Linked DNA regions of Xenopus tropicalis. The protein of the gene in region 2 purifies or fractionates together with the protein of the main gene of each other region. This does not show direct contact. Links are inferred from orthologs where the notes say so. Each region holds a gene or a part of one and is shown on either strand. Other genes may lie near its edges.

Evidence for each region. The genes of interacting proteins can lie anywhere in the genome.
Region 1: the proteins of ppp1cb (region 2) and ylpm1 purify together in Homo sapiens (affinity purification with mass spectrometry; 3 studies listed by BioGRID and IntAct, with this or other methods). This does not show direct contact. The link is inferred for Xenopus tropicalis from reciprocal best matches to the Homo sapiens genes PPP1CB and YLPM1.

Annotation. Positions count from the first base shown.
Region 1 is NC_030684.2:82,123,407-82,128,186, forward strand, and holds the start of ylpm1 (YLP motif-containing protein 1), read left to right. Parts: upstream 1-1,415; 5' UTR 1,416-1,867; coding exon 1,868-2,452; intron 2,453-4,544; coding exon 4,545-4,742; intron 4,743-4,780. UniProt on the Homo sapiens protein: Plays a role in the reduction of telomerase activity during differentiation of embryonic stem cells by binding to the core promoter of TERT and controlling its down-regulation.
Region 2 is NC_030681.2:5,961,815-5,966,064, forward strand, and holds part of ppp1cb (serine/threonine-protein phosphatase PP1-beta catalytic subunit), read left to right. Parts: intron 1-1,737; coding exon 1,738-1,968; intron 1,969-2,807; coding exon 2,808-2,912; intron 2,913-4,250. UniProt on the Homo sapiens protein: Protein phosphatase that associates with over 200 regulatory proteins to form highly specific holoenzymes which dephosphorylate hundreds of biological targets.

The DNA of each region.
Region 1 (4,780 bases), on a different chromosome or scaffold from region 2:
CGTGTGCTTTGGTCACTGCTCAAGCTATCGCAGAGCACTTTAAAAATAAAATTGACACCATCCGAAGGGACATTGCACAACTTAATCCCTATAACCATTTACCTCCCTCCCTACACACTACCCAGTCTCTTCTTGGCTCCTTCTCCCCAGTGACTGAAGAGGAAGTCTCAAAACTGTTGTTTTCCTCTCACCTTACTACCTGCCCGCTTGATCCCATTCCTACCAAACTTCTGCATAATGCCAACCCCTGTCTTATCAAAGCCTTAACTCATCTATTTAATCTCTCGCTCTCTACTGGAATCTTTCCCTCCCAACTGAAACATGCAATTGTAACCCCTATTCTGAAAAAAACCTCCCTTGATCCCTCCAATCCTACTAACCTCCGACCTCTCTGCTCCCATTCATCTCCAAACTGCTCGAGCGCCTAGTCTACAACCAACTGACGCTATTCCTCTCCGACAATAACCTCCTGGATCCCCTACAATCTGGTTTTAGACAACAACACTCCGCCGAAACTGCTCTAACCTGACAAACAAATGACCTCCTATTGGCTAAAGCCAAAAAACACTACTCATTGTCAATCAATTTACAGTTTCATCCAGAATACCGCAAATAACCATATTTGTTTCAAACTATATGATCATACATAAAATGTAATCCATTACTGTAGTAGTTTAACTTTTTCATTTAATATAATGCAGACTGAAATTAATGAGGTGATTTGCTTTACCTGTATGATGGTGTTTTTTTTCTTTAGTTTAGTTTCATCATTTTTTAATTTTCTTTAGTTCTGTTTCAGTGTGTAATTTCAGCAGCCATCTGGTTGCTAGGGTCTGATATATCCTTGCAAAAACAAATATATGAAATATGTTCCTACCCCTGTCTGGGGACAGACTTCACCCTTCATATAGAAACAACCCACTATTTGTGGTAGACTCTGACTGCTTCTTAGAAAACTTGTAATTAATTAACAGAAACCAAGGCAACTAAGATACCAAGATGCCCCGTGACCTGTGCTTTACTGCTGAGCTGCAAGTTGGGGTGATATCACCCCCCTCCCAACATCCGATAAGCAGAACAATGGTAAGGTAGCAAGATAGCAGCTCCCAGTAGATCCCAGTAGAATCGTACTCCATAGTAAGAAATCCAAGTCTGGCTTGGGACTCCTCCAGTTACATGGAAGTAGGAAAAACAACAGGGTACCTGAAAGCAGTTCTAATGTGTAGCGCTGGCTCCTTCTGAAAGCTCAGACTCAGGCACAATGCCTACACACCAAAATTACAACTATAAAAAACATTTGTTGGTTCAAGAATAACATCGCCCCCCCAGTGATAGTTTTATTACTAAGTCATTACAAGCACTGAAAACAAACAGGATCTATCCTATCAGCACTTTATTGTCTTGTTTCTATAACCATTCCTTTTTAAATTAGAATTTAGACTAGCTATTTTAAAGGGACTGCTTCCTTATCTGCAAAGGGATACCTTTCCATTAGCAACTAGGAACTAGACATTACGAAGCCTATCTGTAGTTTCTATGACTGTTCCTTTTCCAGCTACAATTTAGCCTAACTATATTCAAAGATCTATTTCCTTGTCTGTAAACGCATACCGTTCCATCAGCAATTTAGAGCTAAATGCCACCTTTATTGCCACCTTTATTAGCGAGAGCTGTTGAAACTGGAAAAGGAAGTGATTCCTCGCTGCTGAACTTCCGTCTGTCCGCCATGGCAGTATGCTATTGGAGTAAGCTGTATGGGAGCGTATGACGAGTTTCCGGCGATAGAGTCTAGCAGGTCGAACAACAGGACGGAGAAGTGAGGCTCTTGCACAAGCAGCCGACTTATTGATTGGAACGATCTACGGCTATGTATCCGGGCTGGGGCCGGTATGGCGGCTCTTCCTCAATATCTGCTCCGGCCGGGCCGCCATCCGCACCCGCTACTGGTGCCTTCCAGAGCTTTAGAGACCAGCACATGGCCCAGCTCCAGCAGCTTCAGAAAATGCACCAGCAGCAGCTAGAAACAGTCTTGCCTGTTGGCAGCACCTCTCAGCCTGCTGGGTTTCCCCCGCCGCCTGGAGCCTATCAGCCGCACACTGGCGGCTACGCGAAGCGATCGTATTATGGACCCGGAGAGTCTTATCCCTTCCCCCCACCACCCTTCGTGAGCAGCTTGCCTCCCCCTGGGTACCCTAGTTACCCTCCTCCTCAGCACCATCAAACAAACCCTCCGCTTCCTGAGCCAGCGCCCCCTCCTGAACCGGCACCCCCTCCAGAACCGGCACCTCCTCCTGAACCAGATCAGCCGCCCCCACCTGAACCTGCACAGCAGCCTCCCCCGGAACCGGCGCGCCCTCCACTTCCAGACCCAGAGAAGCGCTTGCAGCCCGCGGAATCTTCCTCCCCTAAGGATTCTGAGGGCATTAGAGGATCTGATGGTTTGTCTCTAGAGGTAACGAACACATTTATGACATGAAGCTGTCCATACACGTATATAGATAAATGCATTATAACGGACGATTGGATACTTGACAAATGTGGTATACAGAACGGTAAGTCATTGACATGAAGACTGCTAGCTTGCAAATGTTCATAGAAAAGATCTGCAGTCAGAGGCCTTACGCACATATATTTAAGGATGTTGTCTTGTACAATGTTGAAGTTGGTTTGTAATTTTACATATAGATCTTTTGTGTGGCTGTACATATACAGATGCAATCATATATGGTGCTGGGTTCACTCTTAGCTAAAAATTCCCTTACTTAAAAATGGTCCCTATAGAGTTCCTTATAGATCTTCTAAATTCCTTAACAGAAGCACAGTAGAAGCACAGCCCTTCACTCACACAAGCAAGACAGGCTTCAGTTCCCTATCTGATCCACCTAGCTCACAATCACCATGCAGCACCAATTGCCTGACTGCGCCGCCCCAGTCCCAGGTGTGCTGTGACTGTGCCTGACCATGCAATTGCCTGACTGCGCCGCTCCAGTCCCAGTGGCACTCCAGCACGCTCTGCCCTGAAGGGTGCGTGGTGCCTACTACCTCATTCCGCTTTAAAGTAACTTAAGATTTGCACAAATCTAAACCTGCAAAAAATAGGATTTGGCCTAATGCCAAACCAAATCTTGGATTTGACACTGGAAATGTTAGGCTGACCCATACATTCCTTGAAAATCACAAAATTACAAGAGTGTACTAGAATATAGTGGTAGGTGAGCCAAAGTTGAGTGGAAATCCTGCATGTGGGGCAGCTCCAGGGTTTACCTGGATGTGGGAGGTCATGTGCAGTGTGAAGATTTTGTCTAGGAGTGTACTTTGTAATTTAGGTGCTATATGTTGGAGTATTGTGATGCATGGAGGGGGCAGGTGTACGTATATAAATAACAGCAGCGGTATGTGTCCGCTGTCAGAAATTTGGGTGAGGAGGGTTGGAAAGTGGCTTGGCTGGAGGTGAATGTGGCGAGCGATCTGCCTGCAAACTGCTGCAGAGGAAGGTTGGTCTACTCAAACCTACCTGACCCACAGGTTTCATGTTGACCCCCCCCCCCATGCATCACTAGTGGAATGTCACTTAGAAGCTTTGAATTTGAGGGGGGTTTTTTGTTTGTTTTTTTTTCTCAACTCAAACTCATGAAATTTATATTCTAGGTCTGTGAGCTCTCAAAAACAAAATTCTGAAAAAGTCAAATTTAAAAAAATCGCTTACATTTTGCCTTCAACAATGCCTATTGACTTTTACATGAGCTCACAAGCTTTAGATGCTTAGGTTTTACATTCGAGTTTTTCCAAAATTTTCATGGTCATAATTCAGGTTCACAAGTTTTAGTGCAAATAAAATTGAATTGTGCCAAAAAAAATCAAATTCGAATGTTGATAAATCGGCCCTGCATGTAGAGTCCTGCTGCAGGTCAGTACCTACAGGTTACCTCCCAAAAAAGTGGGAAGCCTGCAGGTTGGGTGTAGAATTTTCTTATGCGGGTTGGATTGTGAGTCTTATCTATATTTCTTATCATATATTATTTTTAATCTATATTTTACTTCTTTAGATATTTTTTTCAACTACTGATGGCAGAGTTACAGTTTGCAGCAATGGCACTTTATTTTTAATTGTGGTCAGCTAATTAGGATAAGTCAGTTGCACGTTTGGTAGCAGGTCCAAGCAGGTAAAAATGTGTGTTGCAGGCCATGTGTCCAGTTTTTAAAAACTGGTTCTGTATAGGACTCTACCTGAGTGTTCTATAAGTTAGTAAAAGTATATTGAAGTGAATTTAGTGTATGACAGGTAGCCTTCGAAGGAACTGGAAAAAAAAGAGCCGCTTGTGGATTAAGAGGAGAGGTTGAGTGAGGGAGCAGTGTTCACCTGTAAAGCCCTGTAAGAAAAAATAACTTAACTTAAATAATGTATACCGCATATAAACATTACATTAAATGGAGATCAGCTAATATATCTTAAAGCACAAGTGAGAAATGGCCATTATTGTAAATTATGTTTTATAGTAAACACAACAAATGTTTACATTTTTTAATTGTTTTTATTTTAATAGCAACAACAACATTACTGGTATACACAGCATCTAATGAGTTTACAGCAGAAAGCAAAGCTGCGCCAGAAAGAGAATAGTGGTACATATTCTGTAAAATCTACTGTACCACAGAGGGTTCCAGTGCCACCTGAAAGTGAGCTTCCACCAGCACCTGTAGTAAAGGAGCCACCTCCACCTTTGCCTGCAGATGATGTTAAGGTAATGTTTTAGAATGTAACTTTATCAGATCTTCGTAA
Region 2 (4,250 bases):
CGGTCAGTAGCAACTAGTCACAAATAACGCCCAACTGCCATAGTACAGGTCATTTTAACATTACTTAAACCCAATAGGGCTGTTCTGCCCCCAATAAGGGGTAATTATATCTTAGTTGGGATCAAGTACAGGTACTGTTTTATTATTACAGAGAAAAGGGAATCATTTAACCATTAAATAAACCCAATAGGACTGTTCTGCCCCCAATAAGGGGTAATTATATCTTAGTTGGGATCAAGTACAGGTACTGTTTTATTATTACAGAGAAAAGGGAATCATTTAACCATTAAATAAACCCAATAGGGCTGTTCTGCCCCAATAAGGGGTAATTATATCTTAGTTGGGATCAAGTACAGGTACTGTTTTATTATTACAGAGGAAAGGGAATCATTTAACCATTAAATAAACTCAATAGGGCTATTCTGCCCCCAATAAAGGGTAATTATATCTTAGTTGGGATCAAGTACAGGTACTGTTTTATTATTACAGAGAAAAGGGAATCATTTAACCATTAAATAAACCCAATAGGGCTGTTCTGCCCCAATAAGGGGTAATTATATCTTAGTTGGGATCAAGTACAGGTACTGTTTTATTATTACAGAGAAAAGGGAATCATTTAACCATCCCTACAGCTCTGATCTGCCCCCTACCCCATTGCCCTGCGCTGGTGACACAGCCGCTTTCTGTCCTTATGAAAATCATTTTTCCTGTGAAACATTTGCACTCGTGCCTATTTTTTCAGAATCCTAAATCAACACGCTGGCATGGCGTCAGTCAATAAACAATCGGCCAAATGGCAGTGCTGAGCCCTGTGCTATTATATAATTGCCTCAAACACTAGAGATGGGAGGGGCCAGCCATGTCACTGTGTCATACATATCCCTGGCTCATGTGACTGCTGAGTCTGTACCAGTAGTGTGTGATCTCTGTCCTGCAGGGTGTCAGTTGGCTCTCCCTGGCACAGGCTCACAGGTTTCATGTGTATGGGTGGTGCCTGGCTTGTAGATTCCATGCAGATACAATTAAGTGCACTCTTCCAGGGCCTTAAAGCAATACTGTCACAGGAAAACAAAATATTTTCACAACCCATCAGTTAATAGACATTCTCCAGCAGAATCCTGCATTGTAATCTGTTTTTCCCATGGGGCTAGCCATATTCTTCATTTCCGAGGGTGCCACAGCCATGTGACCTGTGCTCTGATAGACCTGCTGTGCTGCAAGTTGGGGTGATATCCCCCACCCTGACCCCCAGCAGCCGATCAGTAGAACAATGGGAAGGGAGCAAGATAGCAGCTCCCAGTAGGTATCAGAATAGCACTCAATAGTAAGAAATCCAAGTCCGCCTTGGGATTCCTCCAGTTACATGGGAGTAGGAGAAACAATAGGTTAGCTGAAAGCAGTTCTAATGTGTAGCGCTGGCTGAAAGCTCAGACTCAGGCACACTTTACTGCTGCGCTGCAAGTTGGAGTGATATCCCCCCCCCCTCACCCCCAGCAGCCGATCAGCAGAACAATGGGAAGGGAGCAAGATAGCAGCTCCCAGTAGGTATCAGAATAGCACTCAATAGTAAGAAATCCAAGTCCGGCTTGGGACTCCTCCAGTTACATGGGAGTAGGAGAAACAATAGGTTAGCTGAAAGCAGTTCTAATGTGTAGTGCTGGACCTGCAGCGCTCTGATACCTGTATTGGTTCCAGCTGTGTATAACCAAGCCTTTCCCTTTCCCTTCCCATCTCCAGGTGATATCCACGGACAGTACACGGATTTACTGCGGCTGTTTGAATACGGGGGCTTTCCGCCAGAAGCCAATTACCTCTTCCTGGGGGATTATGTGGACAGAGGGAAGCAGTCACTGGAAACCATCTGCCTGCTGCTGGCATATAAAATCAAATACCCAGAAAATTTCTTCCTGCTCAGAGGGAACCATGAGTGTGCGAGCATCAACCGGATCTACGGGTTCTACGATGAATGTGAGTGTGTCCCACACTGGGCTCCCTGGACAGTGCCAACGACTGCGTAGCCATTGTGGGATGTTTGTTGGTGATATGATAATGAGGACCCCCTCCTACAGATTTTAGTGGTCAGCTGTACCGTCTCTTTTCACATATAGCTCACACCAATTCTAATTTTTATAATCCAGTTTACTTGGTCAAATCTCAGTGCAACTGTACAGTAGTTGTACTTTAAAAGGAACTTGGTTTAGTTTGCTTTGAATAACCTTGTTTTGCTGTTTGTATTTTCTGTGCTGCAATGAGCTTCAGTCACACTTTACTGCTGCGCTGCAAGTTGGAGTGATATCCCCCCCCCCTCACCACCAGCAGCCGATCAGCAGAACAATGGGAAGGGAGCAAAATATCAGCTCCCAGTAGGTATCAGAATAGCACTCAATAGTAAGAAATCCAAGTCCGGCTTGGGACTCCTCCAGTTACATGGGAGTAGGAGAAACAGTAGGTTAGCTGAAAGCAGTTCTAATGTGTAGTGCTGGCTGAAAGCTCAGACTCAGGCACACTTTACTGCTGCGCTGCAAGTTGGAGTGATATCCTCCCCCCCCCCCCCCCCCCAGCAGCAGATGGCGCCTACACACCAATATTACAGCTACAAATACATTTGTTGGTTCAAGAATAAAAGGTTAAATGGCAGAGGGAATTGATTATTTGTTGTGTAACAGTGTCATTTAGAAATAAAAAAACATGAGATCATTTTGTGGCAGGGGTGTGATGTATTTATAGTTTTTTCTTTCTTTATATCATGTTTACCATTCCTTGAAGTGTGAAGCTCAACTCCTTCCTTTGCTTTTCCCATTCTCTAGGCAAACGGAGGTTTAACATTAAACTGTGGAAGACATTTACAGACTGCTTCAATTGCCTGCCTATCGCTGCCATCGTGGATGAAAAGATTTTCTGTTGCCATGGAGGTACGCCATCTTTGTAACTGACTGGCAGGGCCCTTTTGTGACATATATGTCATGTATATGTATCTTATAAATATTGCTAGAAATCTGTTAGATTCCTCGGGGCAGTTATTCACTGTCGGTATAGCTGGATGTTGCCTACAGCCAAATACTTGTCCTAATTCCATCGTGTTTAGCTGTAGGCTCTATAATATGTGTCTGTGCCGGAGAGTCAGGCTGTAACCTGATGGCTTTGTACTGGTCAGCCGTGTTATTTAGTAATGGTACCAGTACTACCACCCTGTGCCCTGCATCATAAATATAGGTAACATCCAGGCTAGACTTTGTTTCTTTTGAGCCTTGCATAGTGTTAAGCAGTGTTTTTTCTAAAGGTGGCTATAAACTGCATGATCCGCTCACTTGGCACGGTCACTGAGCAAGCAAATCTTCTCCCAATATCCCCACCTATGGGTGGGTGATATTGGCCTAATTCGTTTGTTTGGCCCTGGAGCCAAACCATCGAATTAGAATGGCGGGTATAAGCGCAGTCCGTTCCGACTACATTTTCAAACCCGCCCGATTGATATCTGGCCAATTTCAGGCCAGATATCTGTTGGGCAGGCCCGTCGGTAGTGCCCATACACGGGTATAAGCTGCCAAATTGGTGTAAGGGACCGATATCGGCAGCTAGAATCGGCCCGTGTATGGCCACTTTTATTCGATCTTTTGACTCTAGGGCCTAACGATTGAGTTAAAATAGTGGGAATAGGCATTGTTGGTTCAGTGACTGCATCAATGAGCCAATGCTGTCCCCGATCCAACGGAAAAATCAAACCTGCCCCATAGAGATTTGCCCAATTTCAGGCCAGATGTCGGGGAGGCCTGTTAGTGGTGCCCATACATGGGCAGGTAAGCTGCCAAATCGGCAGCTAAAATTGCCCCGTGTATGGCCATCTTTAGGCTGTGCTTATATAACCTTTGCCTCATATACTGTGTGAGCAAATATCCCCTTATTTCAGATCTCATAACTGACCCTCAAGCTCACAGGCTTATCCAGAGGCTCCGATCTTACCTTATGTGGCCTTTTAGGGCAATGACAGATGCACAGATTCTGAACCCGTAGCAGGTTGTATAAATTACACAACCTGTTTAAACCACTTAAATTGAGTAATTGTGCAAAATGCCGCCTTACAAATATTTGAGCATTTTTTACATTTTGCGATTTAAGTGTTTTACCTCCGATTTACATTACTCACTATGGTAAGGAATTTTTGGCCATTTCGCCTTGGTTACAAAACACAGTCTGTCATTGTCCAATCCCATAGTTTAGAAACAACCGGAATTGGTGTAAAGGGATAGCTA